Linked DNA regions of Canis lupus familiaris. The protein of the gene in region 1 interacts with the protein of each later gene in a pairwise test. Links are inferred from orthologs where the notes say so. Each region holds a gene or a part of one and is shown on either strand. Other genes may lie near its edges. The genes, in order: DAPP1 and FXN.

What was found.
Region 2: the proteins of DAPP1 (region 1) and FXN interact in binary tests that used the Homo sapiens proteins (3 or more experiments, as listed by UniProt). The link is inferred for Canis lupus familiaris from reciprocal best matches to the Homo sapiens genes DAPP1 and FXN.

The regions. Positions count from the first base shown.
Region 1 is NC_049253.1:18,115,328-18,119,237, reverse strand, and holds the start of DAPP1 (dual adapter for phosphotyrosine and 3-phosphotyrosine and 3-phosphoinositide), read left to right. Parts: upstream 1-1,111; 5' UTR 1,112-1,570; intron 1,571-2,171; exon of another isoform or gene 2,172-2,270; 5' UTR 2,271-2,305; coding exon 2,306-2,406; intron 2,407-3,910. UniProt on the Homo sapiens protein: May act as a B-cell-associated adapter that regulates B-cell antigen receptor (BCR)-signaling downstream of PI3K.
Region 2 is NC_049222.1:88,982,171-88,986,080, forward strand, and holds the start of FXN (frataxin, mitochondrial), read right to left. Parts: upstream 2,704-3,910; 5' UTR 2,669-2,703; coding exon 2,501-2,668; intron 1-2,500.

The DNA.
Region 1 (3,910 bases):
ATATTTATATTTATAATTTATTTATTATATTTATAATATAATATATTATATAAATTATATAAATATATATATACCTCCTATTTGTTTGGAAGCAAAAGTTGCAGTTTCTTGAAGTATATATATATGTGTATGTATATACACACATATGTATATATGCTTATGTGTGTATAATATCTAAACAATCTATTGTTAAATATATTATCCAGTATTTTGACGACTACCCAGCATTTTGTTGAATCCAAGTGGTAATGCTGCAGCAGCTGGTACTGCTCCAATGCTAAATGTGTAGTTAGTGGAGCAGGGGGGTAGTAGGGAAAGGAGACTGCCTGGGGGAAACGGGGTAAGTGACAGAAAGAATGACATTAGAGGAGAAGGTCACCAATGGGGTAGCAAAATGAGAACAGGAGGAAGGCAGGAAGACTGAAAATGGGAAGAGGGTGATATTAGTAAGCTTTGCTTCTTTCCTGAAAAAAAAAAAAAAAGAGAGAGAGAGAGAGGAGAGGTTAAGTAAAAGAAAAACCAGAATCTGCTAAAATGGGAACAAGATAGATACTGAAACACTGAACAAAAAGCTCTAGAAAGAGAACAGGAAATCTCTGCCCAGATGCCCCGATCTCTGCCAAATGTACATTCAGCACCTCCCAGGCCGGGGCTGGCGTCTGTTGCAAGAGGACCCTGTGCTCCTCTCCGTCCACGCTGTAGCAAAAAGAATTGTAAATGTTCACGTACAATCAGTTACAAGAGTGTTATCAGAGCTTAGTCTCTCCCCCAGGCTGTGTTTAGACATCAGGAATTTCTCCCACACAATCAAAGTAAGCCAGGGTCTCCCCAATCACTGACAAACAGGAACACGAGGGAAAACATTTTTTTTTTATTTCAAAGATTTTCTTTTCTTTTCCTTTCTTTCTTTCTTTTCTTTCTTTTCTTTCTTTTCTTTTCTTTTCTTTTCTTTTTTTTTTTTCTTCTTCTTTTCTTTTTCTTCTTCTTTTTTTTTGGAGTTCAATTTGCCAACATATAGCATATCACCCAGAGCTCATCCCGTCAAGTGCCCCCCTCAATGCCTGTCACCCAGTCACCCCAACCCCCCCACCTCCCTTGTACGTTTCCCAAGGGAAGAGCCGTAAGGAAAGGCGGAATGGTGCCAGATGCAGATCCTCTGCTTTAGGAACAGCTCCTCTGTCCTGGCATCCTGCAAGGCAGTCTCCTCAAACTTGAACGGGCACGGGAGTTACCTTGGGGATCTTGTTTAAATGCAGATGCTGGTCCGGACTGGCTGGGACAGAAGCTCTGCATTGCGACAAGCCCCTAGTCATGCCAATGCTGCTGGCCTTGGGTTACAGAGCACCCCGGTGACCCCTGAGTGAGTTAGGGTAAGAGAGATAGAGAGAAGGGAAAGAATCCAGAAGCACATTCTCTCCTGCATGTAAATAGAGAGAGAAGGCGGGAAGCCACACATGTTCTTTGTTCATTTACTACCCCACTTCGTCCGACTCCCAGACACTCAGCATTGCTGCAGTTTCCCTGGAGCACCTGCAGGCAGACGGGCTGCTCTGCTGCACCGATACCAGCGGTGAGTAAGCCCAGTGAAGGAGGGGGGGCTCCCAGGCTCCCCGCACCAGGCTGGTCCTCCAACTTCTCCTGCCATCTCACCCCATCCTTCCTCCTCAGAGAAAACAGCAGTTGTCTCTGAATCTTGCCAGTCTGAATGCCACGGGCATGTTGAAAAGCTTGGGTAATCAAGGCAGAAGTATCGAGAAGGCACTAAAAACCAGACTTGAGGATCGAGGCTAATGGTTTGACTCTGATTTCTACACCCGCCGTAAAGATGTTCCTGATACAGAAGCTTCCTCGGAGCCCCTTGCGTTGGCGCATGAGATGGAAGATGGGGGTGCCTGTACCCTCTTCTCCCAGGGCTGATAATAGCACCTGGGAGAAACTATGTTTGGCCTTGCCAAAGGAGCCTGAATGGATGGATAGTCCAAGCCCAGCTGGGGTGACTTCATCTTACTTTCCTTTGACAGAAACTGCATGTTGCATGATGCAGCGTGGGTGCCCTCAGAGTAGCTACCTACGTTTGCATACTTCCTGGCTGACAGAAGACTCCTGCCCGTGCCTCAGGGCCAGGGTGGTGAGTGTCAGTGGGAGGAGTAACCCAAGTTTCACTTCCTTGCTGGTTGGAGCCCAGCCACAGCAGGCTTCTCTCTCAGAGGAGGAGAGCGCAAGGAGCAGTAGACCCAACTCTCTCTCTCTCTCTCTGCCTCTTCCCATAGCAACTGGCAGGGGCTGGGGGACGTGAGGAGCGCGAATGGGCAGAGCAGAGTCTCTCGAAGGGAAGATGAGCACCCAGGATCCTTCAGATCTGTGGAGCAGATCAGATGGAGATGCTGAGCTGCTTCAGGAATTGGGGTAAGAAGCAAGTCTTTTCAAAGTACTTCTTGGGTGACCATTGACTCCCAATTCCCTCCCAGATGTTCACTTCGGTTGACTATCTTCAGCACCTTGCCGTCTCAGTCCTCTTCGCTTTCCACTTCACCCCTTTGTGTCTGTTAGGCATCTTTCTGCTTGGGGCCAATCACATTTTAAAGGCATATAGTATTTTCCCAAGAGTGAAAACATGTAAGCAGAAAAAATGGGACAAAAATCAAATGTTGGGCATTCTTTGAGACTAGGAACAGGATTGAGATGTATGAGTCGATGTTACTTGGTTTCCTTGGTGCAGATCTGGTTTATGAATAAAAGTGCTGTTCAGAAGTTTGGAGCTCTAAGCTATTGACAGTAAGAGGGCTGCATTGCCAGTAAGATAAACAGAAAGCCTAGCCTATTGCATCGGAGAGGGACTTTTTCAAAACAGAAAGAATGAGGAAGTGTCTGCACTGTCTCATCTGTGTTTCTCTCTCCTGACACTGCATTTGTCTTGTATGTATGTGTGTCTTGTAGGTGCAACTTTGAGCCTTTTAAATACTAACAAGTCAGGAAGAGGATAAAATTCCTGCCTCAAACAGGTTATAAGTTTAGGTAAGGTGGCATCATCCTAGTCCTGTCTTTAAGAAGGGACCAGATGAGACAACCCATCAGGGTATTTAATAAAAGAAGCAAGTATTACACAAGAGAGGTGTAGGGGGTTTCCTGGAAAAACTGGACCTTTACCCTAAAGCACCAGAAATATCCTAATGAGGCTGATTTTGACACCTGTGCTTCACAAGAGGCAAGACCAGCACCTCTTCATAAATAGCACTGTCTCCACAGCAACCCAGTGACATAGAGCCTATTATCTCCAACTTACAAAGGAAGAAAATGGCACCCAAGGGGTTGAAGAACTCTCCTACATCACACATCAACAAATGGCAAAACTGGGATTTCAACCTGCAAAAGCCTATGTTCTTTGCCAGAGAAAAACTGAAACAGGGATGAAATCTCTGCATTAAGTCAGCAGAGATTATATCTTTTGTGTGGTATTATTGTAAAAGTTCTCCATAAGTCCAGCCTTCAGATTTTAAAATGGAGGTCTCAGAATTGAACTCTACCCTCACTAGATAAATCAGATATAACAGTGAGAATTTTCCATAGTCAACTCCCCTTACTGGGAATTCAGAGTTCTCAGATACCACTGTTCTTCTAGGATGAATCTCCAAAGTGGAAGGGTAAAATACCCCTGAGCATCCAAACAGGTGTCACAAAGTCCAGGCACTAAAGCTAGACCTTTGGGCTCTCACTTACAGCCTTATGAAATTATTAAAGTATAATTTGTTACATGCTTCATTATCAATATCCCCAGCCTATGATCAGCAGGAAGTTTCAAAAGAGAAGAGAGACAAAGGAGGTACTCAATTCTGGTTCTATGAGCCCACATTCAATGCTTGAGTGACGCTGTAACCTCCTTGGATGACAGAGATGAGCTAAATGATGTCTC
Region 2 (3,910 bases), on another chromosome or scaffold:
CACAGAGTTGCACACTTAGAAGGAAAGCATTTCTGTAGATTCTGGGTTCTACTGAGAACCCAGAATGTTGAGATGATAATATTTTGAAAAACGAGATTACATAAATGTAGTGTTGGAATCTTTTTTTAAAACTAACCTCTAGGCCCAACATGGGGCTTGAACTAATGACCCTGGGATGGAGAGTCATATACTCTATCAACTGAGCCAGCCAGGTGTCCCACTGTGGTATCGAAATTAATTTCACCTGCTTTTTTATATTCTGTCAACGTAATGTAGCTACTAGAAAATTTAGAATTACACACGCACCTCCCATTCTATTTCTTTTGCACGGTGCTGTAGAAGTAGGATAGGGAATAGAGAAAATAAGGATGGGGAAGAGGCCCACCCACTGAACTCAGGTCCTGGTGAGTTCTGGCGCGCAGAGACGTTAGGAGTCAGCCTGAGGACAGTTCAGGCCTTAAAACAAATTAAACAAGGTGATCCCAGTTGCCATCGTCATCCACCCAACTCCGCAAGTATTGGAGATGTGTAAGCGAACTTGTGTTACAGACAAGCTCAACAAACTCAATTAATTTACATGGTAGAGGAGGCCCAGTGGGGTGATTCAGGTTGATTACTATCTCCCAACCTCCCAAGACTCCTAATCCCAATGTGTGTCCAGTGCCCACCCGCTGCGTGGCAGCTCTAAGCTGGGCATGCTTCTGAGTCAACAGCCCTCAACAGCCACTAGGTACCATCCAAGAGACCATGCCATATCTTGTCACTGTCCTAAATTAAAAACTGCTGCCAATCCATGGCCCACAGGGGTCGAAGTGCAAGCCAGGGCAGCTCCAGGTGGGAACAGCACAGAACAGCCCAGGAGAAGGGTAATGTCTGTGTTCTGCACTGGGACATCGTGGAACCAGCATGGTCACAACTGCCTATTTTTCTGGAGAAGCTGCAAGATCCAGTATCAAAGGTCCCAACTTTGAGTGTTGGCAACCAATTCTAACTTTTCTTCACACACGGTCAAATAACAGGGCCGTGGGAAGTTTAAGTCTAAAGTCCCAATTCCAGAGCTCCACAGGCAATTTGGGCTGGACTTCACCTGCCTTCCTCACCACGCAGGGTCCACCCAGCCACTCAGCTACTGTCCACCTGCCTACCCGGCCCAGGCAGGTCCCCCTTTTAGGATGCTGCTCTCTTGCCACCTCCAAGCGCCACCTCCAAGCCGGGTTACACATCCCGTCTACCCCGCTGAGTCTTCCTCACTCCACAGCCACTCCTTGGGCTGCCTCCTCTCAGGTCTTGGGATTGCCTGGGTCAGATGCTTCACTGCATCCCCAAGGGAAGGAAAGAGAATTAACTCCCAGAGCTGAAGACTTTATTATCACGTTCAGCCAACTGGATCCTCACCCCAGCTCGGCGGGATGAATGTCCTCATCCTTTCATCTCTAGACCGAAAAGGAAGCCAGGCCTCTGGGAGGGGTGGTCCCCGGGGTCGCAGAGCTCTGCAGAACCAGGCCGAGGAACCCAGGCCGGGTCCTATTCCAAAAGCTTTGCTGCGCTACCTACTGCGCTCCAGGGCCTTGGTAGTTCCACCTGGCTCCAAGGAAGCTTTTCGTTCATAAAAGCACATTCTTGAACACATTGCTCTAGAGTTATAAACACACACTACTACACACTGCTTTGTTGGTATGTGTGCTGTTTCAGTCTATTTACATATATTTACGCAGATGCTAGGATCATCTGCCATACACATGTGTGGTGCAGTACCCAGTACCGTATATAGTAGCACTTAAACCTTAGTTCTGGCAGAGGGAGGCGGCGAGCTGGGCGACCACCACGGACCCCCGGGAGCGGGTCCCCCGCCACCTTCCCTCCGTGGGCGGTCGGGCGGGTGCCGGGCCTCCGCGCTGCGTGTCCCCCGCCGTGGCAATGCACTGCCCTTTCGCACCGGAAAGCAGAGGCCGGTGCAAACGTGACCCCGGGCACCAGGAGGCGGGCTGCGCGGCCGGGCACCCCGCGGAGAGGGCAGCGCGCTCCCCCGCCGCCCGCCGCCCGCAGAGCGCGTCCCCGCCCGCAGAGCGCGTCCCCCGCGGGCAGAGCGCATGCCCGGCCGGCAGAGCGCGTCCCCGGCCGCAGAGCGCATGCCCGGCCGGCAGAGCGCGTCCCCGGCCGCAGAGCGCATGCCTGACCGGCAGAGCGCACGTCCGGCCAGGAGAGCGCGTTCCCGCCCGCAGAGCGCGTCTCCCGCGGGCAGAGCGCGTGCCCGACCGGCAGAGCGCGTCCCCTGCCGCAGAGCGCATGCCCGGCCGGCAGAGCGCGTCCCCGGCCGCAGAGCTCGTCTCCCGCGGGCAGAGCGCATGCCCGGCCGGCAGAGCGCGCCCCCGCCCGCAGAGCGCGTCCCCGGGCCGCGGCGCCGCCGGAGCCCCGTGAGCGCGCGTGCCCGCAGCGTCCCAGCGTGCGCGGCCTCCTCCGCCCGCCTGCGGCCCGGTCGGCTGCGCGGCGCGGTACTCACGGCGTGGCTGGGCCCGCGGGCCGCTCCTGTCCCGACGCGCAGCCCCCGGCCGCCGTGGAGCGGGGCGGCCCTCGTGGGCCCCCGGGTCCCCGCGCCGGCCGCGGCTGAGCCCGGGGGTGCCGAGCGGGGCAGGAGGCCGGCGGCGGCGCGGCGCCCGAGCGTCCACATGCTCCTCGCGGTCTGCGGCCGCTCCGCCCTCCGGCTCCGGGGACGCCGCGGCGACACCTGCTGGCTACGGGCGGCAGGCGGCGCGGTGGGGCTCGGCGCTCCGGCGGGCTGCGGGCTGCGGGCTGCGGGACGGGCCCGGGGTGGACCCGGGAAGCGCTTCCCCGCCTTGCACGGCCTCCGTATTTGACAGAGGGAGAGCGCGCTGCGTGCAAAGCACAGGGCTTGCCCCCGGCAACAGGCGAAGGCGTGACCTCGGTCCTCGGTCCTCGGAGCCTTGGGCCTGGCGACCCACGGCTGCAGGGTTCTAGCCAGGAAGGGTTTGCGAGCTGCAGCCTTGCTGGGACCTGGACGCGGCGCAGGCCTTGAACCCGCTTGGCTGTGCGAGGTTGGAGCCCTTGGGACCCGCACACTGCAGAGGGATTGCCCGGTTTGCGGCCGAACTCTGTACTTGGCAGCTGTGTGACCAGTGGGCGGGTTAATTCACTTCTCCGTGCCTCATCTGGAAAGCGTGGTTTATAAAAAGTTTCTTCTTAGGTTTTTTTTTTTTTTTTTTAGATTTTATTTATTCATGATAGACATAGAGAGGCAGAGACACAGGCAGAGGGGGAAGCAGGCTCCATGCCAGGAGCCCGAGGCGGGACTTGATCCCGGGACCCCAGGATCGTACCCTGGGCCAAAGGCGGGTGTTAAACCGATGAGCCACCCAGGGATCCCCTTCTTAGGGTTGTTTTAAGGATAAAATGAGTTAATCTATGTAAAGGGTTTTTTTTTTTTTTTTTTAGACTCTGCTAAATGCACGCTATTAAGTTGTTAATACATTTTAAGTAAAAGACAGTTTTACTTAGGTTGTATATTGCAAAGGAATGCAAATTGTGGGAATGCAAATTGTGAACATTTATATTTTTATTTATTTTTAAAGATTTGTTTGTTTATTCATGAGAGACGAGAGAGAGAGAGAGAGAGAGAGACAGAGAGAGGAGAGAGAGAGGCAGAGACCTAGGCAGAGGGAGAAGTGGGGAGCCATATGTGGGGCTCAATCCTGAGATTACTGGACCACACCTTGAGCTGAAGGCAGATGCTCAACCATTGAGCTACTCAGGCGTCCCTTTATTTATTTGACACAGAGAAACCACGGAGAAGCAGGTGGAGTGGCAGGAAGAGGCAGAGGGAGAGGGAGAAGCAGGCTCTCTCTGAGCAGGGAGCCCCATGTGAGATTTGATCCCAGGACCCTGGGCCTGTGAC